3 linked regions of the Lytechinus pictus genome follow. The protein of the gene in region 2 binds, or shares a complex with, the protein of the main gene of each other region. Links are inferred from orthologs where the notes say so. Each region holds a gene or a part of one and is shown on either strand. Other genes may lie near its edges.

Region 1 (7,978 bases), on a different chromosome or scaffold from region 2:
CCCAAAGTAGAGGAATAAAAGCAATATAGCTATATGAAGCTGCTTTCTATTGTTGACCTCGTACCATCTAATATCCAATAACCCCAGGACGATAAAACCTACTTTTTGGCTGAAAAAAACTATAATAATTGGAAAATTTAGGTATAATTACCTTTTAACTCTACAAATAATGGTTTAAAAGTACTAATCATAGGAAAAACAAATTGCCTGCCCCCAAATACATATGAATAGACACCAAAACCAGAGAAAAAGACCACCAAATAAAGAAGTTGTGGCCAAAACTGTGATTTTGGGGGGTTTGGCGGCCATTTTGGATTTTGGCCCGGCACACTTTTTTCTCGGACTCGAGACAAAAAATATTATCATTTCATGTTGAGATACATTACAAGGAATAAAAAAAAACTGTTGTCATATTGAAATTACAAAAAAAGTATTTTTGACCCATGTATAGCCCACTCCTAATGTTAAGAAACAAAAAAAATAATAATGTTCCGCTCCCAACTGTTGAGCACTCTACCCGGCTATCCTCGCGCTGCATTATGATATTTATCAACCGAGGCAAGTATTTTACGATTCATGATATTTATCGGCCGAGTCAAGTATTTTTAAAATTCAAATTGGCAGCTATACACACGTGTGGTATCTAGGTATCAATAACAAAGACATCAAGATGGCGACCAAAACAGACTTGGTAAGTCAACGCTCGTGCTCGTCTTAATTATTTTTCATATTATACACCCAGTTGTTGTGTGTCCGGACAGGTTGTGTGTCCGGACGATCAATTTTAGAAAGTCATTTGGAAAATTTTACAGGTGAAGTTTCATCAATTTTTGGTACAAAATGTTAGGAAATATTATAGAGAACAAAATAGAAGATGATTACAAATTACAACTACATGTATTGAATTCATATTTTTTAGTGTAATCCAAAGACAAAAAAGAAGGGCTTCAAAAATATAGTGTCCGGACACCCGAACCCCCCATCCTACTATTTATTGAAGGAATATATACAAACATATTAAATTTGGGGGGAAAACTTAGTTATCCTTACCAAATAATTTAGCTCTACTTTTACCGTGGGAAAACCTACAGTGTGAATAGACCAATGCGTAAGCGAACCAGGCGTCAGTGGGGAGTAAAAGTCATCTACTCTACTACTAAGACTACGTAGAGACTAGACAGCTGGCAGCCGTCTGTTTCGAGGAGTTTTTTTAACATTTTTTTATTTTTAAAATTTCTCCTCATACACAGACGGCTCGCTATCGTGCAGCCACCATTAGGGGACTTACAATGCAAAATCCCCCCGTCGGGGCTCTTCAATTTTTGTCTTTAATGAATCAAACTTTTGAAAATTAACGCGACCGAAATGCAAATTAATATTCCCTCTAGCCATTAATTGCCAAAAAACGGGGAAAATCAAGTTAAAAGGAACAAAAACAGTGACTTACCTCGGCTGTCGCGCAACTTCACTGCCCTGTTTTATCCGAACTTAATACACATAAACATATGGCCATTGATCCCCTGTACAGATCGCGCTAGAACTTCGGTCTCTGTATTTGGTGAGTGAAGCCAATGGCAATGGAGTTCAGCTGAACAACCAACATAACAGAGACCGAATCTTTTGGTCTACGTAGAGACTAGAGTAGATGACTTTTACTCCCCAGACGCCTCCAGGCTAGGTAGGAGTATCGAGTAGGACTAAGAGTGCTGCCAGGCCAGGCACCGGATCTGCCGCGACCCCGGGGGGGGGGGGGGGGGGGGGGGGGCACTCGACCAAAAAAGTGGTAGGGGTGTGCCGCGGGCGAGACAAAAAACGGGGGCCTTGGAGCGGGCTTATTGTAAAAAGGAGGGTCCTCGGAACGGGCTTTGGAACTACAAATGTTTGTGAAAACGGGGGTCCTTGGAACGGATCGCCAGCGTGTGAGTGCGTATGCATGATGTGCATGATGCAGCTAGCCTGGCAGCCCGGCCGTCAAGTGCCCTCGCGCAGAGGCGATGGTCGGACAGCGCTCTGCGGCCGCTTTTCGATAAGAAGAAAATGCTATGCTTTGGAGCGGCTTTCTTTGTTCTTTTTCTCAATAAGACAAAAATGCTATGCCTTGGAACGGAAATTTGAGTGTAAAAATGGGGGTCCCCTCCGCGGCACATACCCACTATGCATTATATACTGAGTGCCCCCCCCCCCCCCCGGGGCCGCGACAAGCTACAACTTAGCTCTAGGCGCTAGTGTAGTTTCGCACCTCCCCGTTTAATGGTTTTCAAACATGTACAATCTCACCCTAAATAATTCACAACCTAAAATACTTGCATCTGAGCCTCCAAAGTCCAGTAGAAGTTGAATATTTGCCGTTTTGACACTTTTTTTACAAAGTTTTACACCTATTTCGGAATCACTCGGTCGCTTGATCAAGCTCAGCGCTGCACATAAGCAGTCAGTACGCGTACGGTACGTACCACCTAGACCTAGTGTCTAGGGAAGTGCAAGAATTAGAGCGAGTTTTTCTATAAAAAGTAGGCCTAGGCCTATGGTATCTTCAAAAAATGTTTGAAAACCATTATTCGGGGAGGTGCGAAACTACACTAGCGCCTAGCTCTACACTAACCCACTTATCCTACGAGTACGAACAAGGTTATAATAACGCACTAAGTGACTAACCCAGCAATGCATGCCCAGCACGGCCCAGGCAGCTCGGCAGGGAGCTTCGGCCCGCGAAGCGGGTGCTGCAGCGTCAAGACTGTCATCATTCATGGTCAGTGACAGTGAGTTATCATGGCACGCCATGGTTAACTTAACGTGACTTAAGTTCAATAAACTAGGATAGTAAATCCAAATAACGCTATACCGGTACAATAAAGGGCTTACCTAAAATAAGCTTTACATTACAGTCCAGCGACAAAGTTTGTTTACTTACTTATTGATCTTCAAAATCTCTGAATTTATAACTTGACTTGAAATAAGGTTTCGAAATTCGAATTCCCACTCCTAGTTCAACCTGCCTACAACTTTATGCTGCCATCTCCGTCGTCATCTGAAAAGGGGATTTCCCCCAATGTATGACGCATTCCCCCCCCCCCCGCCCCCATGGCCGACCCTTGGTTTTTTAAACGACACATGCTATGATGAAAAATATTGCACTCTGTGTAAAAGTGACAGTATTGGTGATGAATTTCATGCTATCTTTGAATATGCAGCTTCTTAAAGACCACGAGGTCCAATTGATAGTCAAGATATTATTGTAAAAAACAAATACTTTTAAAATCCCAGAAGGAAAAACCAGTAAGACCAGTAAGAATTTTTGCTGGTTTCCAGTAGAATTTTACTGGTGTCCAGTATATTTTTACTGGGCCAGTTGATTTTTAACTGGACCAGTAAAAATAAACTGGAGACCAGTTCCAACAATTGCATTCCAGTTGAAGCAAAGTAGTAATACCAGTTAAATTGTTTTTCATCAAACTGGTGTTACTGGTCCAATAAATGGTTTCCAGTAGATTTTTACTGGTTTCCAGTATATGTTTACTGGACCAGTTGATTTTTAACTGGACCAGTAAAAATAAACTGGACACCAGTTCAAACAATTGCATTCCAGTTGAAGCAAAGAAGTAATACCAGTTAAATTGTTTTTCATCAAACTGGTGTTACTGGTCCGATAAATAATGATTTTATTTCAAGTCAGATCATTTGACGAATTATGGAAAATGAATCTTGAAATTCAGAGAAAGTTATTATCGTTATCGATTGTTACCATCATTCTTATAATTATCATGATTATTATTTTTATGATTATTATGATCATTGTTGTTATCATTCTTATTACTGTTATCATTGTTATTGATATTGTAATTATTATTATTAACATTATCATAATTATCAAGTATTAACATTATCATTGAAATATAATTATTTCCTTTAATTATGATTAAGAGCAAGATATATTCCTCTGATATAGTCAACTGGTCTACAGTAAAATTGTTTGAAATTGAACTGGTCAAGACCAGTAATACCAGTAATTCTGATGATGCTGATCACGTGGTTTACCTCATTTGCATATTTCCTGTTTTTAAAAGAAAAATCAGGATTTAGAATGGAATATCCTTGCAATGGCACTCATTGTTGTTTAAAAACTTTCTGAATAAGTGTGTGAACTAATTCACAATGAAAATGTGTAATTTCATATATCACATTTAAAATAACAGCAGAAAGATTAATTTACTAACCATCTTTTCCATCACATTTCACTGACCATGGTATATAACAAACCAAATGCATGTAACTGGGCGTTGTGGCGTGCGCCTGTAATCCAAGCTATGTGGGGAAGTTACAAATTGATGCAGAGATTCGAGGTTCGATCCCTGGTCACGTCTTTCGGATGGTGACGTTAAAGGTCGGTCCCAGACGTTTATAATCATATCTGATTGATACACGTCTGACAAAACTCAAATACACACACACACATTAAATTGATCCAGTTCGACCAGTTTGAGGACCAGTCAGACCAGTAGAGAAAATACCAGTAAAGACCCGCTTAAATTGGATACCAGTGTGAAGACGTAACCTTCGATCATCCTCACAACATCTTCTCACTGTTCCCTCCACAAATACAAATACATATGGTCAAAGAGCCCTTTCTTTATCTGCCGCTGTACTCTGGAATTCTCTACCTTTAAATATAAGAACTGCACCATCTTTCCCCATCTTTAAATAAATGCTCAAAACTCACTTATTTTCAAAATAGTATTTTATGATGATAAATATATTATGTTGTTAAATATTGTAAGTTTTCATTTCATTAATGATGTAACTTTATGTATTGATTTAATTTGTTCTAATTTGTATTAAGTATTTTAGGATTAAGGTTTAGGTTTATTGTATGATTCAGATAAGATTTAATGTATTATTTATTGAATATATTTTGTAAAGCGCATAGAGAGTCTTTTGACTATTATGCGCTATATAAATTTCAAATATTATTATTATTATTATTAAGACCAGTGAGACCACCAGAAACAAGACCAGTATAAAATTCCAGTAATTCAAGACCACTTTAATTTTTAACTGGACCAGTAAAATTTTAACTGGACCAGTATGACCAGTTAGACCAGTAAACCGATGTTCCAATTTCCAGAGTCACCAGTTAAAATTATACTGGTCTTACTGGTCCAGTGGAACTGGTTTCTCCTTCTGGGATGGAATCGGGGGGGGGGGGGGTCCAATGACGAATGGATACCATGCGCGACCATGGGGTTTCGAAAAGCACCCTAAACAAGTATTTTCCATATTCTGAAAATGCATCACTTTACAAGTATAGGCGTGTGAGTGAAAACCTACCTTACCCTGTAACCCGGGGGGGGGGGCACTTCCATTGACGAGTGGATACCATGTGCGACCACGGGTAACACGTATTTTCCATGTTCTGAAAATGCACCCCTTAACAAGTATTGGCGTCTGAAACCCTACCCTTAACAAGTATTGGAAACAAAACTATACTCTTGGCAAGTATTCCCTGAAATGAACCCCTAAACAAGTATAAAGCGATATTTTATTGGTGTGTCACGGGTCCGTCGGTCGTCGGTTTTACCTAATTTACCCCCGGGGGGCCACTTACATTGACGAGTGGATACCATGCGCGACCAAAAAAAACACGTAAAAATGATGTCTTTTTCAAGATAGGGCACGTTACGTACGTAACGTGATAAGGGTGTCAAAAACACAAAAATAATGAAAAAAGGGTATCTATTTTGCTATGAAAATTACGTGTTTATGGTCAAAATTGCGGGGATGATAAAACGAAATTAAAATGTTTTATAAAGGATGTCCTTTAGTTTTTGCCCCAACACTACGTGTTTAGAGTCCGATTTGCGCGTGATGTAGAAGGTGGGGTCGTACTAAACCAAATGATGTACAGTACATACAAAGTAAAACTGACGTCCGAAGGACCCGTGACAAAACAAAAAAACATTCCTGTACATGTTTAAGGGTTCATTTCAGGAAATATTTGCCAAGAGTATCGTTTTGTTTCCAATACTTGTTAAGGGTAGGGTTTCACACGCCAATACTTATTAAGGGATGCATTTTCAGAATATGGAAATTACGTGTTTAGGGTGCTTTTCGAGACCCATGGTCGCGCATGGTATCCACTCGTCAATGGAAGTGCCCCCCCCCCCCCGGGTAATTTACACAACATTTGTTTTAGTACGGCCCCCACCTTCCTCACCTCACGCAAATCGGGACTCTTAACACGACGTGTAGGGGCAAAAAGGACATCCTTTATGCAGCATTTTAATTTTGTTTTATCATCCCCCAAAATTAGACCCTAAACACGTAGCTTTCCTAGCGAAATAGATACCCTTTTTTCATTATTTTTGTGTTTTGACACCCTTATCACGTTACGTACGTAACGTGCCCTATCTTGAAAAAGACATCCTTTTACGTGTTTTTTTGGTCGCGCACATGGGCGGAAATCCCAGGGGGGACAGGGGGGAAGTGTCCCCCTACCGAAAATAGTAGGGGGGACACAATATCAAATGTCCCCCCTACTATTTTTGGTCTTTTATGATGGAGAAAAATGCATCATTCACATTCGAAATATTACATGTATTTTGGACTAAATGACCTTACGTTTTTGGGTAAAAACCTTTTTTTTTTTGGGGGGGGGGGGGCTTGTCAAATTTTCCAAAGTGACTAAAATAAGATTAGGGGAAGACTTGGAAAATAAAAAGAATCTTTCATGTCACTATATGAAATTTTCGCTCGCGCTTCGCGCTCGCATTGCCTGTCAGGTGATTTTTCAATATGTAGCTTAAATATCAAGTTTGGAAGTCAATATACATTACACATTTCACCTCGGAAATCGAACTTTCATTATTTTGTGTGATTTACAAACTGATTTTTAAAAAGTGCTCTGTAAAAGTGACAGCTTCATGGTCTGAATATTGAAATTTTCTGCTCGCACTGAGCGCTCGCAAATTTCGATTTATTAAGTACCTTTTATTTTTGTGTATTCCATTTAATTTGAAAAAAAATCAAGTCTGATTGTCAAAACGTATCAGATAGCGCTGGCTACTCGCTCGCATTTTAATTGGCGATTTATGTATGTCTCAATTTTGATTTTCATGACAGTTTATCAAAGATATTGGCTCGCAATTTGCGCTCGCATTCATGGTTAAAAAATATTTTGACTGATGCATTCTATTCATAATTACAAAATTGCTTGAAATGTCCAGTTTTCAGGCCATAATATCATCAGATTTCTCACCCTCATTAGGCATTAATAAATAAGATATTAATAATTTAACGATTAAGTTGTCTCTTTTGTTTCATCTCGCGCTTAGCAAGAGGAATAGGAAGATAGTCATCATTTTCATATGACATGTCCCAAGGATGTCCCGGTCCTATGTCAAAACTCAATTAACAATAAAAACTATCAGCTCTTTATTAAGTGCGATCCATATCCACCTCACAATTTTCCTACAAAGTGCTTGAAATATATAGCTGAAATGGACTCTTTTTTAGATTTTTCATGATAAAAGAGGTGTAGAATGCCTAGATTCTAGGTCTAAATCTGAAACACGCGCATGTTTATTCAGATATTCAACTTGTTCTCTATTCAAATCATTATCCAGTTTCAGATCACAATATCAAAAATTGTCTGCTTGCGCTTTGTGCTCGCATTATTAATGTAGAAAGATCCCCTATTAAGCCCCTTTCACAATTGACGTACGATCATTTGCGACCTTTTGGTCGTGCGACAGGCTGCAACAGGCATCAATCGCCAGTCATCTCATAAGATCGCACAGAGGCTTTCACAGTTGCAACAGCTGTCGTACAACAAAACCAACCAGTAAAACCCGTTGCACGAGTAAGTCGCTTATGATCCTATTGTGCTCGTGCGATCACATGCGAGTGTTGCACGGGGGATTGCGAGGGGAACGGTCGCATACAACGGTAGTGCAATGTTGTAAGCCGTTGCGATCGGTCTTGC
Region 2 (7,339 bases):
CGTCTGATAACGTGGTTACGACCCTTAGAGTTGTACAACTCTATCTCAATTTCTGCCCTGTTGGTCCCTCTCTTCACAAACTCACCAAGCTGCAATGAAAAGATGTTTAAAGAAAAATAAATCAAGCCAACATTATCTGTGTTGAGAAAGAAAGGACCAAAATCTCTTTTCTTAAGGTGTTACTTATTTTTAATAAGTAAACATTATTACCTGAGCTCCAACACTGGCATTTTCTAAGTACTGTTTAATACTGCAGTAAGTTTATAAAATGCAAAAAATGGCTCTTCAAAAAATTATTATGACTTTGTTAGTAATCTCACATAGGGGTTCTCACTGATCACAGCATGAATATATTAACAGGAAGGAGGAAACATTAACTGCCCCTCAGAGAGGACCTGAAGTCATCTGTCTTATCTTACCAACATCCACGGTTTCTTACTTAAATACAGTAAGAAGGCAAAAGCAATGTCGTGTCTCGCCCACTTATGAAAATAACCAGAAATATTGTGATTTGCGAGGGCATGCAACAGAATTGTATCAAAACTTCATTGTGAAATGACTGGGATGGAATAACACTTGTCAAAAGAGTCTTGCACATAAACTTTAATGTTGACCTCAAAATGAACTTTGACCATACCATGTGACCTCCCAACACAATAGCATGCAGGTCCCCTAAGTACATCTACCATCCAAGTTTGGTTGAAAAGTGATTTACGGTTGCAGAGTTATGTGTCATAAGAGAGTCTTGCACAGAAACTTTAACGTTGACCTGAAAATGACCTTTGACCTTATCATGTGACCTCCGACTGTAGCATGACATGCAGGTCCCATAACTACATCGACAATCCAAGTTTTGGTGAAAGGTGACTTGCCGTTGCGGAGTTAGGTGTCGGAAGAGTCTTGCATGTACCTTTAACGTTGACCTGAAAATGACCTTTAACCTTAACATGTGACCTCGGACTGCAGCATAACATGCAGGTCCCCCAAGTCCATCTACCATCCAAGTTTGGTTGATAAGTGACTTATGGTTGCGGAGTTAGGTGTCATAAGAGAGTCTTGCATGTAAATTTTAACGTTGACCTGAAAATGACCTTTGACCTTGCCATTTGACCTCCAACTGCAGCATAACATGCAGGTCCCCCCAGTCCATCTACCATCCAAGTTTGGTTGAAAAGTGACTCACGGTTGCGGAGTTAGGTGTCATAAGAGAGTCTTGCATTTAATCTTTAACGTTGACCTGAAAATGACCTTTGACCTTACCATGTGACCTCCGACAACAGCATTAACATGCAGGTCCCCCAAGTCCATCTAACATCCAAGTTTGGTTGAAAAGTGACTTATGGTTGTGGAGTTAGGTGTCATAAGGTTTGTGACGGACGGACGACATTTGGATCCGTAAGTCTCGCCTTCACCTCTGGTGGACGAGACAAAAAGGCATCAGCCACCAACTTCAGCATTGGGTGGTCAGTAGTGTTTCCTTTACTGTCATATACCGATTACACTATACTGGCTCTTCATGTATAACCAGAGGTGTGAGTGATCACAAAAAAAGAGAGCTAAAAAATGATAAAATATTGAAAAGAGCAGAAATTGAAAGAGCTCTCACACTTTTGCACAGAGGGAACGCTAAAATAAATTGAAAGTCCCAAGTTGCTCAGTCAAACTAAAAATGCATCCCTCAAAATGACATCACTGTAATGACAAATGTTTGTATGCACAGTTTTTCAGGCTATGAAGTGCATAATGAATGTTCCACTTCCCTGTTGAAAATGAATCACCAAGACAAAGAAAAACCAAGTTTTAGATGTAATGTAACTTCTTTATGGATCCCCGACCAACTCAATCTCCATACACAGCTTGGACAAAGACCCACCAAGCCTGGAAAGAAAACTCACATCCTTGGCTCTGCCGAGAAGATTAGTGTTGCCGTTGAGACCGAGGCACATGGCACACACTATGGTGGATTTACCCGTACCATTAGGACCCATGATCATGTTCAAATGGGGACCTGGATACACCTCACAGCAGTCATAGGTCCTATAGAGAAAACAAAATGAGAACAAGATATGTTACTTTATATACTTTATATATAGATTTTCTTGTTGACACTCATAATCACCAGCCAGCCATTTTTATAAACAGCTAGAAGAGCTCAAAATATCAAAGTCAACTATTCTAAGCAGGGTTGCCAAAAACATGTGCTAAAAATAAAGAAATCTGTGGTTTTGTTCCAAGTTCGCAAACTTTTTCACAAATTTAGGATTGTCTAAAAAATGACAAATAAAAAAACAAAGCAAAGAAAAACTTAACAGCACTGAATTTGCACAGAAGTCAGTCAATCACAGGCTAGCGGATTGTCTTCATTCGACAGGGGGTCCGGACATAATGCGAGAGCGAATGGCTGCTAGATATACATGTAACCTTGTTCTTTGTTACTAGGAATCCCTGTGTTTAGTGAAATTTTGGCAATGCTTGGCTTACTTTTCTTTCTTGTTCGTTGACTTTGTCCCCAAGAACAAGAGAAAATCAGACAAACATTGCCATTCTTGTTTCACCACACAGGGACTAGTAACAGAGAACAATGTTATAGACCTAACCTTGTTCACTGAATGAGTGGTCAGTTTCCATTAGTTTTTCATCTGTGGGGAATCTACAAGTAGATCTATGCAGTATACAACACAACATTAAAAAAAATCATTAAAAATATCACTTTTTAAAAAACCAAAATTTTTTTTCCATAGTTGCAGTTCATTTTTCATTAATAAGTTGGGGATCATTTTTGTATTCACCAGAGCACTAAAACATTTGAATTTTGGGGCATATTAACCGAGGGCCCTCTATTGGTGGAAAATAGAATTACAAGATAATTGTCATTTTACAATCTCTTGTTTATAATTTAGAAAAAATAATGAAAAGAATTAAATTCACTCTTAAGACACAAGTTATATGATGAATAGTTGTAAAGAAACTGATTGTGTTATAAAAATTAAGCATTTGTCCCCAAGAACAAGAGAAAATCAGACAAACATTGCCAATCTTATTTCACCACACAGGGAGTAGTAACAGATAACAAGGTTAGACCTAATCTTATTCACTGAATGAGTGGTCAGTTTCCATTAGTGTTTTTCATTTAGCTAAAAGTAAGGTAGATCTAAATTGAATTCTTTAATTTTTTGGAGTAACTTTACCATCTAATGTCATAATCGATTATGGATACTAACAGTAGTGTTAGAACGAGGCATTACACACAGGGGCCCGTTACTCAACACCGTCGTAAGTCTAACTTCTTGACTAAATCAGACATAGTGAGCTACTTGTCCGCTAACCGTTTCACGCAGCCCTCTTTACCAAGATCGGGTACAACAATCTTACTAAATATTTATGACACCTCCGAACCTGTCATAACTTCTTTCTTAATGACGTAGTGGCATCACGTGGGTAGACTATGACATGCGAAAGTGCCTAGAAATTTTAAAATTATAATCTTACGTAATCAATCATAGAGGTTGAAATTACATCACAAAACAAGTGGGTTAATGCATTCAATGATAATTGTACTACAAAGAAACTATAACAAGGCAAACGCCAAGCGTTGTCTTGCCTACATATTGCAGTCATGAAGAGACTGCATGTCAAAACTACATGTATGCTATATGACTTAGATGGACCTCTGTTACGAGTTTGGCGATCCCACCTCGAAGCTATAGAAAGTTATTGTGTGTACAACACAGCAGTGCCAGTCATGGAAAGTTCATTGACCTTTGACCTTAATCAAATTCAACTCACATTCGAACTTGACCTGCACCTTCAAGAGATGGACCTCTTGTTTGAATTTGGCAATCCTACCTCGAAGATATAAAAAGTTATTATGTGTACAACAAAGCACAGTGCCAGTCATGGAAAGTTCATTGACCTTTGACCTTAATCAAATTCAACTCACATTTGAACTTGACCTGCACCTTCAAAAGATGGACCTCTTGTATGAATTTGGCAATCCTAACTCGAAGATATAGAAAGTTATTGTGTGTACAGCACAGCAGTGCCAGTCATGGAAAGTTCATTGACCTTTGACCTTATTCAAATTCGGCTCACATTTGAACTTGGCCTGCACCTTCAAGAGATGGACCTCTTGAATGAATTTGGCGATCCCACCTCGAAGCTATAGAAAGTTATTGTGTGTACAACACAGCACAGTGCCAGTCATGGAAAGTTCATTGACCTTTGACATTATTCAAATTCGACTCATATTCAAACTTGACCTGTGCCTTCAGGAGATGGACCTCTGGTATGAATTTGGTGATCCCACCTCGAAGATATAGAAAGTTATTATGTGTACAACACAGCACAGTGCCAGTCATGGAAAGTTCATTGACCTTTGACCTTATTCAAATTCGACTCATATTCAAACTTGACCTGTGCCTTCAGGAGATGGACCTCTGGTATGAATTTGGTGATCCCACCTCGAAGATATAGAAAGTTATTATGTGTACAACACAGCACAGTGCCAGTCATGGAAAGTTCATTGACCTTTGACCTTATTCAAATTCGACTCATATTCAAACTTGACCTGTGCCTTCAGGAGATGGACCTCTGGTATGAATTTGGTGATCCCACCTCGAAGATATAGAAAGTTATTATGTGTACAACACAGCACAGTGCCAGTCATGGAAAGTTCATTGACCTTTGACCTTATTCAAATTCGACTCATATTCGAACTTGACCTGTGCCTTCAGGAGATGGACCTCTGGTATGAATTTGGTGATCCCACCTCGAAGATATAGAAAGTTATCATGTGTACAACACAGCACAGTGCCAGTCATGGAAAGTTCATTGACCTTTGACCTTCTTCCAATTTGACTCATATTCAAACTTGACCTGTGCCTTCAGGAGATGGACCTCTGTTATGAATTTGGTGATCCCACCTCGAAGCTATAGAAAGTTATTGGGTGTACAAAGTTATTATGTGTACAACACATCACAGTGCCAGTCATGGAAAGTTCATTGACCTTTGACCATATTCCAATTTGACTCATATTCGAACTTGACCTGTGCCTTCAGGAGATGGACCTCTGGTATGAATTTGGTGATCCCACCTCGAAGCTATAGAAAGTTATTGGGTGTACAACACAATTGTTGACGACGACGACGACGCCGACACCGACGGCGTATCTTTCGGTATCAATGATTAAAAATGTTTCGTTAATCTGTATTTTGATGACGTTTGAAATCGTAAAAGTCCGTATAATTATCATTATTTTACAAAGAAAACCGTTATGGTTTACTTTCGTAAACTATTAAAATTGGGTATCCCGGGGGTACCCATCTCAACGTCCACAAGTGATTTTTTAGTCATGAAATGAATTATTCATAATTTAATTTTCTCTGCAATTGAATGCTCCAGTCTTCATGGTGTAAGCATGTATGATGCATAATTCACCTGTGCTATTATTTTGAAAAGATTTATTTCTCAATTCATCATAATATTTGCAATTTTGTCATAATTTTTGTTTTTGAAAATTGTGCTATTTTGTGACTAAGGCTACGTCTCGTCTGCTCTTTTTACCGATAGTATCGATATCAAGGTATTCTAGTAAGGAAGCCTTTCGAGAAACAGTTTTAGTAAGATTGGAACTAACTCCGTGGTTGGTGGATAAAAATATGACTAACTTGTCCATGTGTTGAGAAACGGGCCCCAGGATACTTGACATTGGATTTTAAAGGTACGCCTATTTTTTTTCTAAAATAAAAAGATTAAAGGACAAGTCCACCCCAACAAAAAGTTAATTTGATAAGGAGAAAAATCCAACTAGCATGACACTGAAAATTTCATCTAAATCGGATTTAAAATAAGTTATGACATTTTAAAGTTTCGCTTAATTCACATAACAGTTATATGCACATCCTGGTCAGTATGCAGATGAGGGGACTGATGACATCATCCACTCACTATTTCTTTTGTATTTTATTATATCAAATATGGAATATTCTTATTTTCTCCATTATGTCCTGTGAAACAAAGTTTTATTCCTCCCTGAACATGTGGTATTACCATTGTTATAACATTAATATGGTTCAGTTAAGTTGGTCCTTTATGTCAAATTGGTAAAATTTGAAATATTGTATAATTCAAACAATAAAAAACAAAAGAAATAGTGAGTGATGGACATCATCAACCTTCTCATTTGCATGTCACTGAGTTGTGCATGTTTAAACTGTTTAGGCCTGGGACTTTCGGGTATTCGTTCCTTAATACTGCGGTGGAAATTACGCAAACAACAATCAAACAACAAAAATGCGAATTTTTCCTATCGAACAGTCTAGATTCAAGTCGTCGGCACATAATAGGAAATTGTACCAAAAAATCAACAGGTTGCATCTCACGTGTAATCGCTGATGGTGCTACATCATAAAATAACGCTGAACAGCGAAAAAAATGCGGAGCGCCTAGAACGCAACTAGCAGTAGGCTACAGCTGATCTGACGTAAACAAGCAAGTTTATTAAATAATATCGCGCGCCCTCTCTGTGCGTATAGAGAAAACTAGCGAATTAGCTTCATGCCTTCTTCGACATCAAGAAAAATTATTGATATAAAGTACCAGAAAGACAGAGAGGAAATGAAATTGGCTTCATATCGTTTGGTAAGTTTCATATCCAGAGCTTATCTTATTTGAAATATATATCATGTAATGTATAGGGACAGTGATTTTCCGTTTCAGAAAATCTCAAATTCCGTTTCAGCATGTCAGAAAACGGAAATTCCGTTTCCCCATAGACTTTGTACACACGGAAAAGTGACAATTCCGTTTACACATTTACATGCACACTCGCACTGGTCAAAATTTGTATCTGCTACTGTACCAACAACACAATAAAATCCGTTCTAATCGGATCTATGCGGGTGAATAAAATATTTTAACACACCCATTTTGCATGCATACATCCTCACCTTTCATATTATTAGCATTATTTCACGGTGAAATGATATTTCATCGATAATTTTGGGGGTTTTTGGACATCGTTATCATCAGTCAACGTCTTTTCCCAATCCGCCATCTTGGATTTTAAGACCACGATATCGTGCTGTTACATCTTCAAACGTAGAGGGCAGCAACACACAACTGTGTACATGTAGTTGAACGATACATGTGTGCATGTGAAGCCCAACCTGGCCGGCCGGGTACGGGTACGGTGCGGGGTACGGGTACAATCGAGTGTGCTGATGTCGAGTGCAGTCACGATGTGTGAATTGTCATGATAGTAGCGAAGTGAGATCGTGTTTTCTGGGGTTTTTTGGCCATTTAATATTCTCATTTTGTTGTGATTTTGGAGTAATTTCT
Region 3 (7,129 bases), on a different chromosome or scaffold from region 2:
TTGCAAACTTTCTCATCACTCCATTAGTTGTTTGTTTGTTGATTTGCTTCTCTGATGTAATTGTAACTCAAATGTGTATACACATGCTAAAAGAGGAATGCTGGGCTGTTTAACTATCACTGTATGATGGTGGTACCCAAGTCTGCGAACCTAACAATTTGAGTTAAGATTTACCATAATTATTTTTTATTACACAAAATCTTTCAGATGTTTCTTATATTATTATGAGTAAGTGTACAAAATATCTCATAAAAATTTGGAAGAAATCTTGGATTTTCTTGGAAAAGACCTTGGGCACTCATTTTCAGATTGAAAAAGAAAATGGTACCCATATCTGCGCACCAATTCACTTTGCACACAATATGAGGATTTTGATGGGAAAGGCTGCATTTCAAGGCCGTCACATGGAATGCCCCAAATTCATTATTTTTCCACCATTTTGAGTTGGATTCTTTAATGAATATCTTTCTATGTATTGCATGTGTAAAGTTTGTGTTCGTTGCGTATCTTCTTTTACTAGAATCGCGCAGATACGCGTGTGCGCAGACTTGGGGGAACTTGCCATACATGTATGATGGTGGGCCCCAAGTCTGCGCACCTAACAATTTGAGTTAAGATTTAACATGAATTTCTTCTTATTTCACAAAATCTTTCAATTAATAATGTTCCTTACATTATTAAGAGTAAATGTACCAAATTTCTCATTAAAAAATGAAAGAAAATATAGGATTTTCTTGAAAAAACCTTGGGCAGTCATTTTCAGATTGAAAAAAAATGATACCCCATGTCTGCGCACGCATTCACTTTGCACACGATTCGGGGATTTTGATGAGAAAGGCTGCATTTTGAGGCCGTCACATGAAATGCCCTAAATTCATAAAGTTCGTGCTCGTTGCGTATCTTTTATTAGAATCGCGCAGATACGAATGCTTGTCAAGGGTTTTGTTTTTAAGACTTCTCCTTCCTCTTCTCTTTTTCCCTTCTTCTCCTTCCCCCTCTTATTCTCCTTCCTCTTCTTTCTTCTTCTCCTTCTTTTTCATCTTCTTCTTTCTCTTCTTGTTTCCTCTTCTACTTTTTCTTCCCTTCTTCTTTTATTCTTCTTCCTCCTATCTTTATTCTTCTTCTCCTTTCTCTTCTTCTTTTATCCTCTTCTTCTCCTTCCCCCTCTTATTCTCCTTCTTCCTCTTCTTCTTTTTCTCTTCTTCTTTCTCATCTTGTTTCCCCTTCTACTTTTTCTTCCCTTCTTCTTTTATTCTTCTTCCTCCTATCTTTATTCTTCTTCTTCTCCTTTCTCTTCTTCTTTTATCCTCTTCTTCTCCTTCCCCCTCTTATTCTCCTTCTTCCCTTGTTCTTTTTTCTTCTTCTTTCTCCTCTTGTTACTATCTTTTTTCTAATTCTTCTTCTGCCCTTCTTCCTCTTCTCCTTTCTCTTCTTTTTTCCTCTCTTTCTCCTTTTTTCTTCTTTGTGTCCTTCTTCATCTTCTTCTTCTCTTCCTTATTTCTCTTCTTCTTCCTTTTCTTCTCCCCCTCCTGCTTTCTCTTTAATTTCTTTTTTTTTCTTCTTCTTGCTTGTCACACTTTTCCTCTCTTTTGAACCTGGAAATTTTTGCGCTTTGACGTAATTTGCGACAGCTGGCAAATGGACTGAGACAGGTTCGAGGTAGATTTGTGTTTACCATCTACAAATCGGTGGACCAGGGCAGGCCCAGGGCCGGGCCTGGCCGTGACTAGACCTACCTCTCAAGGTGGCCCGAGGTTGTTAGGGATGTTTACATCTAATTAATTTCTTTCCTACCCGAGGGCGAGACAGGCCCCGGGCCGGGGCCACCAATTTTCTAGATATCGTCTTAAGTCAGACTAACCCAGAGAGCTCCCGCCCGCGTAGCGGGCGGGAGCCCAGAAGCTTACCGTGTATTTTACCATTGTCACCGGACTAGGGTGATTTATGGTCTAAATATTTCTCCAAATGAATTGTGAAAACGGAAAGTATACAATTACCACGATTATATGGATGAAGGTCTAACGAGTGGCAGATTCCTGACATCTGGGCACAGTCTGGAACCTCAAAAAAACGAAAAGTTCTCTCCTTCTACCCAGTCTCGATCGGCCATTTTGTTACGATTTTTAACAAAAATGGCCGATCGAGACGGGGTAGAAGGAGAGAACTTTTCGTTTTTTTGAGGTTCCAGACTGTGCCCAGATGTCAGGAATCTGCCACTCGTTAGACCTTCATCCATATAATCATGGTAATTGTATACTTTCTGTTTTCACAATTCATTTGGAGAAATATTTAGACCATAAATCACCCTAGTCCGGTGACAATGGTAAAATACACGGTAAGCTTCTGGGCTCCTGCCCGCTGTGCGGGCGGGAGCTCTCTGGGTTAAAGTCAGACAAGCAAGGGCAAACGAATTGCGCCTTGGCTTTATTTATAATTTAATTTATTTTTAAGTATCCGAACATCCTGAACATCGGAACCTCATATCCATTAAAACTAAGTAAACATTTCATTGTCCACTCACCCATGCACTGAAATCATTAACGTAAAGTCGTAGGGGCGCCCGATTTCCCGGCCAGTCCAAAGCCAGGCCCAAGCCAAAGGCCAAAGCAAAGTCAAGACAAAGTTGCTGTTAAAAAAATAGAAGAAAACTTACAAATTCAATGAGCGAAAAGTAAGGCCAAGTGTAAGATCAGCACAAACTAATTACGGTACCGTACCGGTACTGTTAGAGATGGTTTCATGAAGACTTGCGCCTTGGTGGTTTCAGGTCAGAGTCAGAGTACTTTGATTGAATAGAACAGTTGAGATGCTAGTGGAGATCGAGACTAGAGAGAAGTGTCTTGGTTGTGGCACTTGCGCATGCAGTCACGGACACGGTGCACGGTGCGGGCTAGCTGCCAGCCTGCGTCCCCGGCCGGCCCGGCGTGTGCCGGAGAAAAACCCCCCTTACCTGGCGCTGGCGCGGTGGATAGTTGGAGAAAAATTCGAGGTAGCGCGCGAGATCGAGAGAAGCTCGAGTATGGAAAGCCGATTACAACGGGAATTTATTGTCATACAAAACGTGTGTTATTTTCCATAGACAGCACCCCCTGGAAATCTGATAGGTATGATAAATGACAGAAATTTAATAAAAATGAACGTTTTGTATGAACACTCCCCCTTCAGAATTTCCCTATACAGTGCTTGAAATAGTGCTTAAATTAACCCTTTTTCAGATCAGAATATCAAATATTTTCAGCTCGTGCTTCGCGCTCGCATTATATTAGTTTTCATTATGAAAAAAATGTACTTTCTAGAATGCCCAGATTACAGTCGGGTAGATATGATCAAAATTATTGCAAAACCGTCAAGTTGGGTATGGTCATAGAGATATATCTCTATGGGTACGGTATATATACAATTTTTTGCTGAAAGTTGTAGTGTATGGTGTCTAATTCAAGAATCCGACGGGTGCCACTTGGGCATTTTTTTTTAAATTGACGTCATATAGCTAGGCCTCGCCCAATTTTTGTCTCACCTGCATGCACCGGGCACCTGCATAGCAGAGTGAGACTATAGGCGCCGCTTTAGGCGGCGGCGTCAACACCAAATCTTAATCTATAATTTTTAGTTTTTGAAATGACAGCATAACTTAGAAAGTATATGGACCTAGTTCATGAAACTTGGCCATAAGGTTAATCAAGTATTACTGAACATTTTGCCTGAGTTTCAGGTCACATGACTAAGGTCAAAGGTAATTTAGGGTCAATGAACTTAGACCATGTTGGGGGAATCAACATCAAAATCTTAAACTAAGGTTAAGTTTTTGAAATGTCATCATAATCTTAACCTAAGGTTAATTTTTTTAAACGTCATGATAACTTAGAAAATATATGGACCTATAGTTCATGAAACTTGGACATAAGTTAATCAAGTATTACTGAACATCGATCCTGATCATTGAGTGTCACGTCACATGACCAAGGTCAAAGGTCATTAAGGGTCAATGAACTTTGGCCAAATTGGGGGTAGGCCTATATATAGGCCTATCTGTTGAATTTCCATCCGTAACTTTGAAAGTTTATGGATCTGATTCATGAAACTTGGACATAATAGTATATAATCAAGTATCACTGAACATCCATGTGCAAGTTTCAGGTCACATGATTAAGGTCAAAGGTCATTTAGGGTCAATGAACTTTGGCCATAATGGGGGAATTTGTTGAATTACCATCATAACTTTGAAAGTTTATTGGTCTAGTTCATAAAACTTGGACATAAGAGTAATCAAGTATCACTGAACATCCTGTGCGAATTTCAGGTCACATGACCAACGTCAAAGGTCAATGAATTTTGGCTAGTATCTGTTGAATTACCATCATAATAAAGTTTATATGGATCTGATTCATGAAACTTGGCCATGAGAGTAATCAGGTATCTTTGAACATCCCGTCCGAGTTTCAGGTCACATGACCAAGGTCAAAGGTCATTTAAGGTCAATGAACTTTGGCCATGTTGGACGTATTTGTTGAATTCTCTGTAAGTGTAGGCCTGTTGGTCTAGTTCAAAACGTGGATATAAGAGTATAACCATGTATCACTGAACATCTTGTGCGAGTTTCAGGTCACATGACCGCAAAGTCAAAGGTCATTTAAGGTCATTGAACTTTGGCTATTTTAGAGGTAACTTACTATATTTGCTGTCATATAATGTATAAAATGTGGATATAGGGGTAATCAAGTGCACTGACAAGTTTTAGGTCACATGATCAAGTTCAAATGTCAATGATCGTATATAGTATTGTATCATTATATATGAATGGTGTTTTTTGTGAATAATTATATTAGTTTTCAAAGTCAGCACTGCTACTATATCGCGTGATGCAGGTGAGACAGCAGATAGTCATTCCACTTGATTGTTTACCTCTTAAATATGACTTTCATATTTTACGACATAAACATGTCATGTTTTTATTAATAAATCATCAACATACAAACTATGCATCGCATAAACAACTTAATTGACTAATATTTACAAATTAAGATTATGAAGTGATCAGGAGAACAAAGAAAAAAATCATCGGCGACTTGTTTATCTAACTTTGTTAGTGGATACATTTTCAAGGCACATGAAAGAAAGAAAGAAAATGAATACCGGTAATTGACATGAGAACGCAGAGCAGCACACCTATGCGCGGCCCGCGCGCGCGCCTGATCGACGTTGCATAACAATCTCCGAGTATGGGTATAGTATTGTGGTGTATACTCGACAGCTAAACATTAAACATGGCATCTAGTTTTGTCTCTGGGTTCAGAAGTCTCGAAAAGACTGCGCTCTTCCACTGGAAGTTTCTTTCCAGCTTGTCGTCTGGCAAAAGGTGATTTGCAATTTCGTATTGAAGTTTGATATTGGGCCCCATCATTTGCTTGTTTGCTGGTAGAAAAGTCGGGAGCGGGAGGAAAGAGTAAATACATTTATTTCCACATTTTTGTTCATTGACCATGACGTTAGTTAGCCCATGTACAATTCGAACACATTTATCACAGAAAGATGATATCACCCGCTCACTTGCGTAGATCAGAAATTGCATACCGCGATAATATAATTGGCGTGGCCACCTAACTGAAGGAAGACATGTGTGCTTGATTGAGGCGCTGATGTTGCTGATGTCTTTTGTTGTCTTTTTAAATCATTTATTGGTATATTTATTTGCAAATACATTTTTTTCATCCTCAGTCTTATTTATAAAATCATCCTGATTCCTGTGTCTGTGACTCGTTACAAAAAGTCTTAACTTGATGTTTGTGCAGGTTCCATTCTAGACAGCTGTCAGCCGTCTGTTTCGAGGAGTTTTTTAACATTTTTATTATTTTTTATTTCTCCTCATACACAGATGGCTCGCTATCGTGCAGCCACCATTAGGGGATTAACAATGCAAAATCCCCCCGACGGGGCTCATCGATTTTTGCCTTTATTTCATAAAAATATATAAAAAGAACTGTACCAAAATAAAGTCAAGATTATTATTCCGTTTTGGCCTGAAATGCACCAAACGGGGAAAATAAACTTAAAAGGGGAAAAAACAGTGACTTACTTCGGCTGTCGCGCAACTTCACTTCCCTGTTTTATCCAAACTAAATACATAAACATATGGCCATTGTCATGAGTCCCCTGTACAGATTGAGCTAGAACTTCGGTCTCTGTATTTGGTGAGTGGAGCCAACGGAGTTCAGCGGAACAACCAACATAACAGAGACCGAAGCTTTTGGTCTAGTTCCATTCCAGAAATCAGAAGCTTAATTTCTTACTTTCCATCCTGATTTCACTCCATAAGACCATATCCATCCTTCAGTTAGCCTCAAAATTGGTGATTTAGAGCCAGCATCGAGTTCCTCACACATATAAATCATTCTTTTGGAACCCAGTTCAGATCTAGATATAAATCTTGCATGTAGCCTTTTGTAGGTGTTTACTTATGAAATTATTTATTCATGTTTAGATATTTCCTCGTTTATCCATTCATTCATTCGTTTATTTATCTTGCATTAATTGATCTATTCTTTAGAATTTGTCCTCAGGGTGCAACAAACCTGCTTGCCTGAGGCAACTAGAAATGATGTGTGGGCAAGCATTTCTCAAATTCAATTGCCCGGGTTTAAGAAAATTAATATCAAAATGACGGTAAATTTCAATATCTTTTGGATAAAATAAGAACTATCATATGTCGAACCGGCAACTACAGTGCGTATAAAAAAAAGGGACCATTTTGTAAAGTTTGTCAAAATTTTGTTTCAAATTGTGGGCCAGGGACAGTCTTATACATTCCCGGCTATGTCCCGGGACCCCCAGGGCCAGGAATATAATTGAAAAGTGCATTATACCTCCGCCAAACAAAGTTTGAAGGGGGTATATAGGAATCAGTGTGTGGTCGGTCCATTGCAAATCTTGCGCATCAAACTCATTCAGAAAGTGAATGTAACCCTAATATTTTATGGGACTCTTAAGTGCACAATTACTGGTACTTGTATAGATTATTGTACACGCAACAAGAAAGAAAAAAAATGTAAAGAAACAGCTATTAAAAGATATTCAAAATTTAGATAATAAATTAAGTACTGATACAGATAATAATCTTGACACTTCTTGAGGA

The links. The genes of interacting proteins can lie anywhere in the genome.
Region 1: structural maintenance of chromosomes protein 5-like (region 2) and non-structural maintenance of chromosomes element 1 homolog share a complex: the UniProt entries of both Homo sapiens proteins name them as parts of the SMC5-SMC6 complex. The link is inferred for Lytechinus pictus from reciprocal best matches to the Homo sapiens genes SMC5 and NSMCE1.
Region 3: structural maintenance of chromosomes protein 5-like (region 2) and non-structural maintenance of chromosomes element 3 homolog share a complex: the UniProt entries of both Homo sapiens proteins name them as parts of the SMC5-SMC6 complex. The link is inferred for Lytechinus pictus from reciprocal best matches to the Homo sapiens genes SMC5 and NSMCE3.

What each region holds. Positions count from the first base shown.
Region 1 is NC_087261.1:31,457,235-31,465,212, forward strand, and holds the start of non-structural maintenance of chromosomes element 1 homolog, read right to left. Parts: upstream 3,027-7,978; 5' UTR 2,912-3,026; intron 1-2,911. UniProt on the Homo sapiens protein: RING-type zinc finger-containing E3 ubiquitin ligase that assembles with melanoma antigen protein (MAGE) to catalyze the direct transfer of ubiquitin from E2 ubiquitin-conjugating enzyme to a specific substrate.
Region 2 is NC_087249.1:22,656,798-22,664,136, reverse strand, and holds the start of structural maintenance of chromosomes protein 5-like, read right to left. Parts: upstream 3,003-7,339; 5' UTR 1,995-3,002; coding exon 1,896-1,994; intron 90-1,895; coding exon 1-89. UniProt on the Homo sapiens protein: Core component of the SMC5-SMC6 complex, a complex involved in repair of DNA double-strand breaks by homologous recombination.
Region 3 is NC_087247.1:43,388,268-43,395,396, forward strand, and holds the start of non-structural maintenance of chromosomes element 3 homolog, read right to left. Parts: upstream 3,027-7,129; 5' UTR 2,654-3,026; intron 2,627-2,653; exon of another isoform or gene 2,522-2,626; intron 1-2,521. Other genes in the region: NADH dehydrogenase [ubiquinone] 1 alpha subcomplex assembly factor 3-like, read left to right, coding at 5,265-5,356. UniProt on the Homo sapiens protein: Component of the SMC5-SMC6 complex, a complex involved in repair of DNA double-strand breaks by homologous recombination. The complex may promote sister chromatid homologous recombination by recruiting the SMC1-SMC3 cohesin complex to double-strand breaks.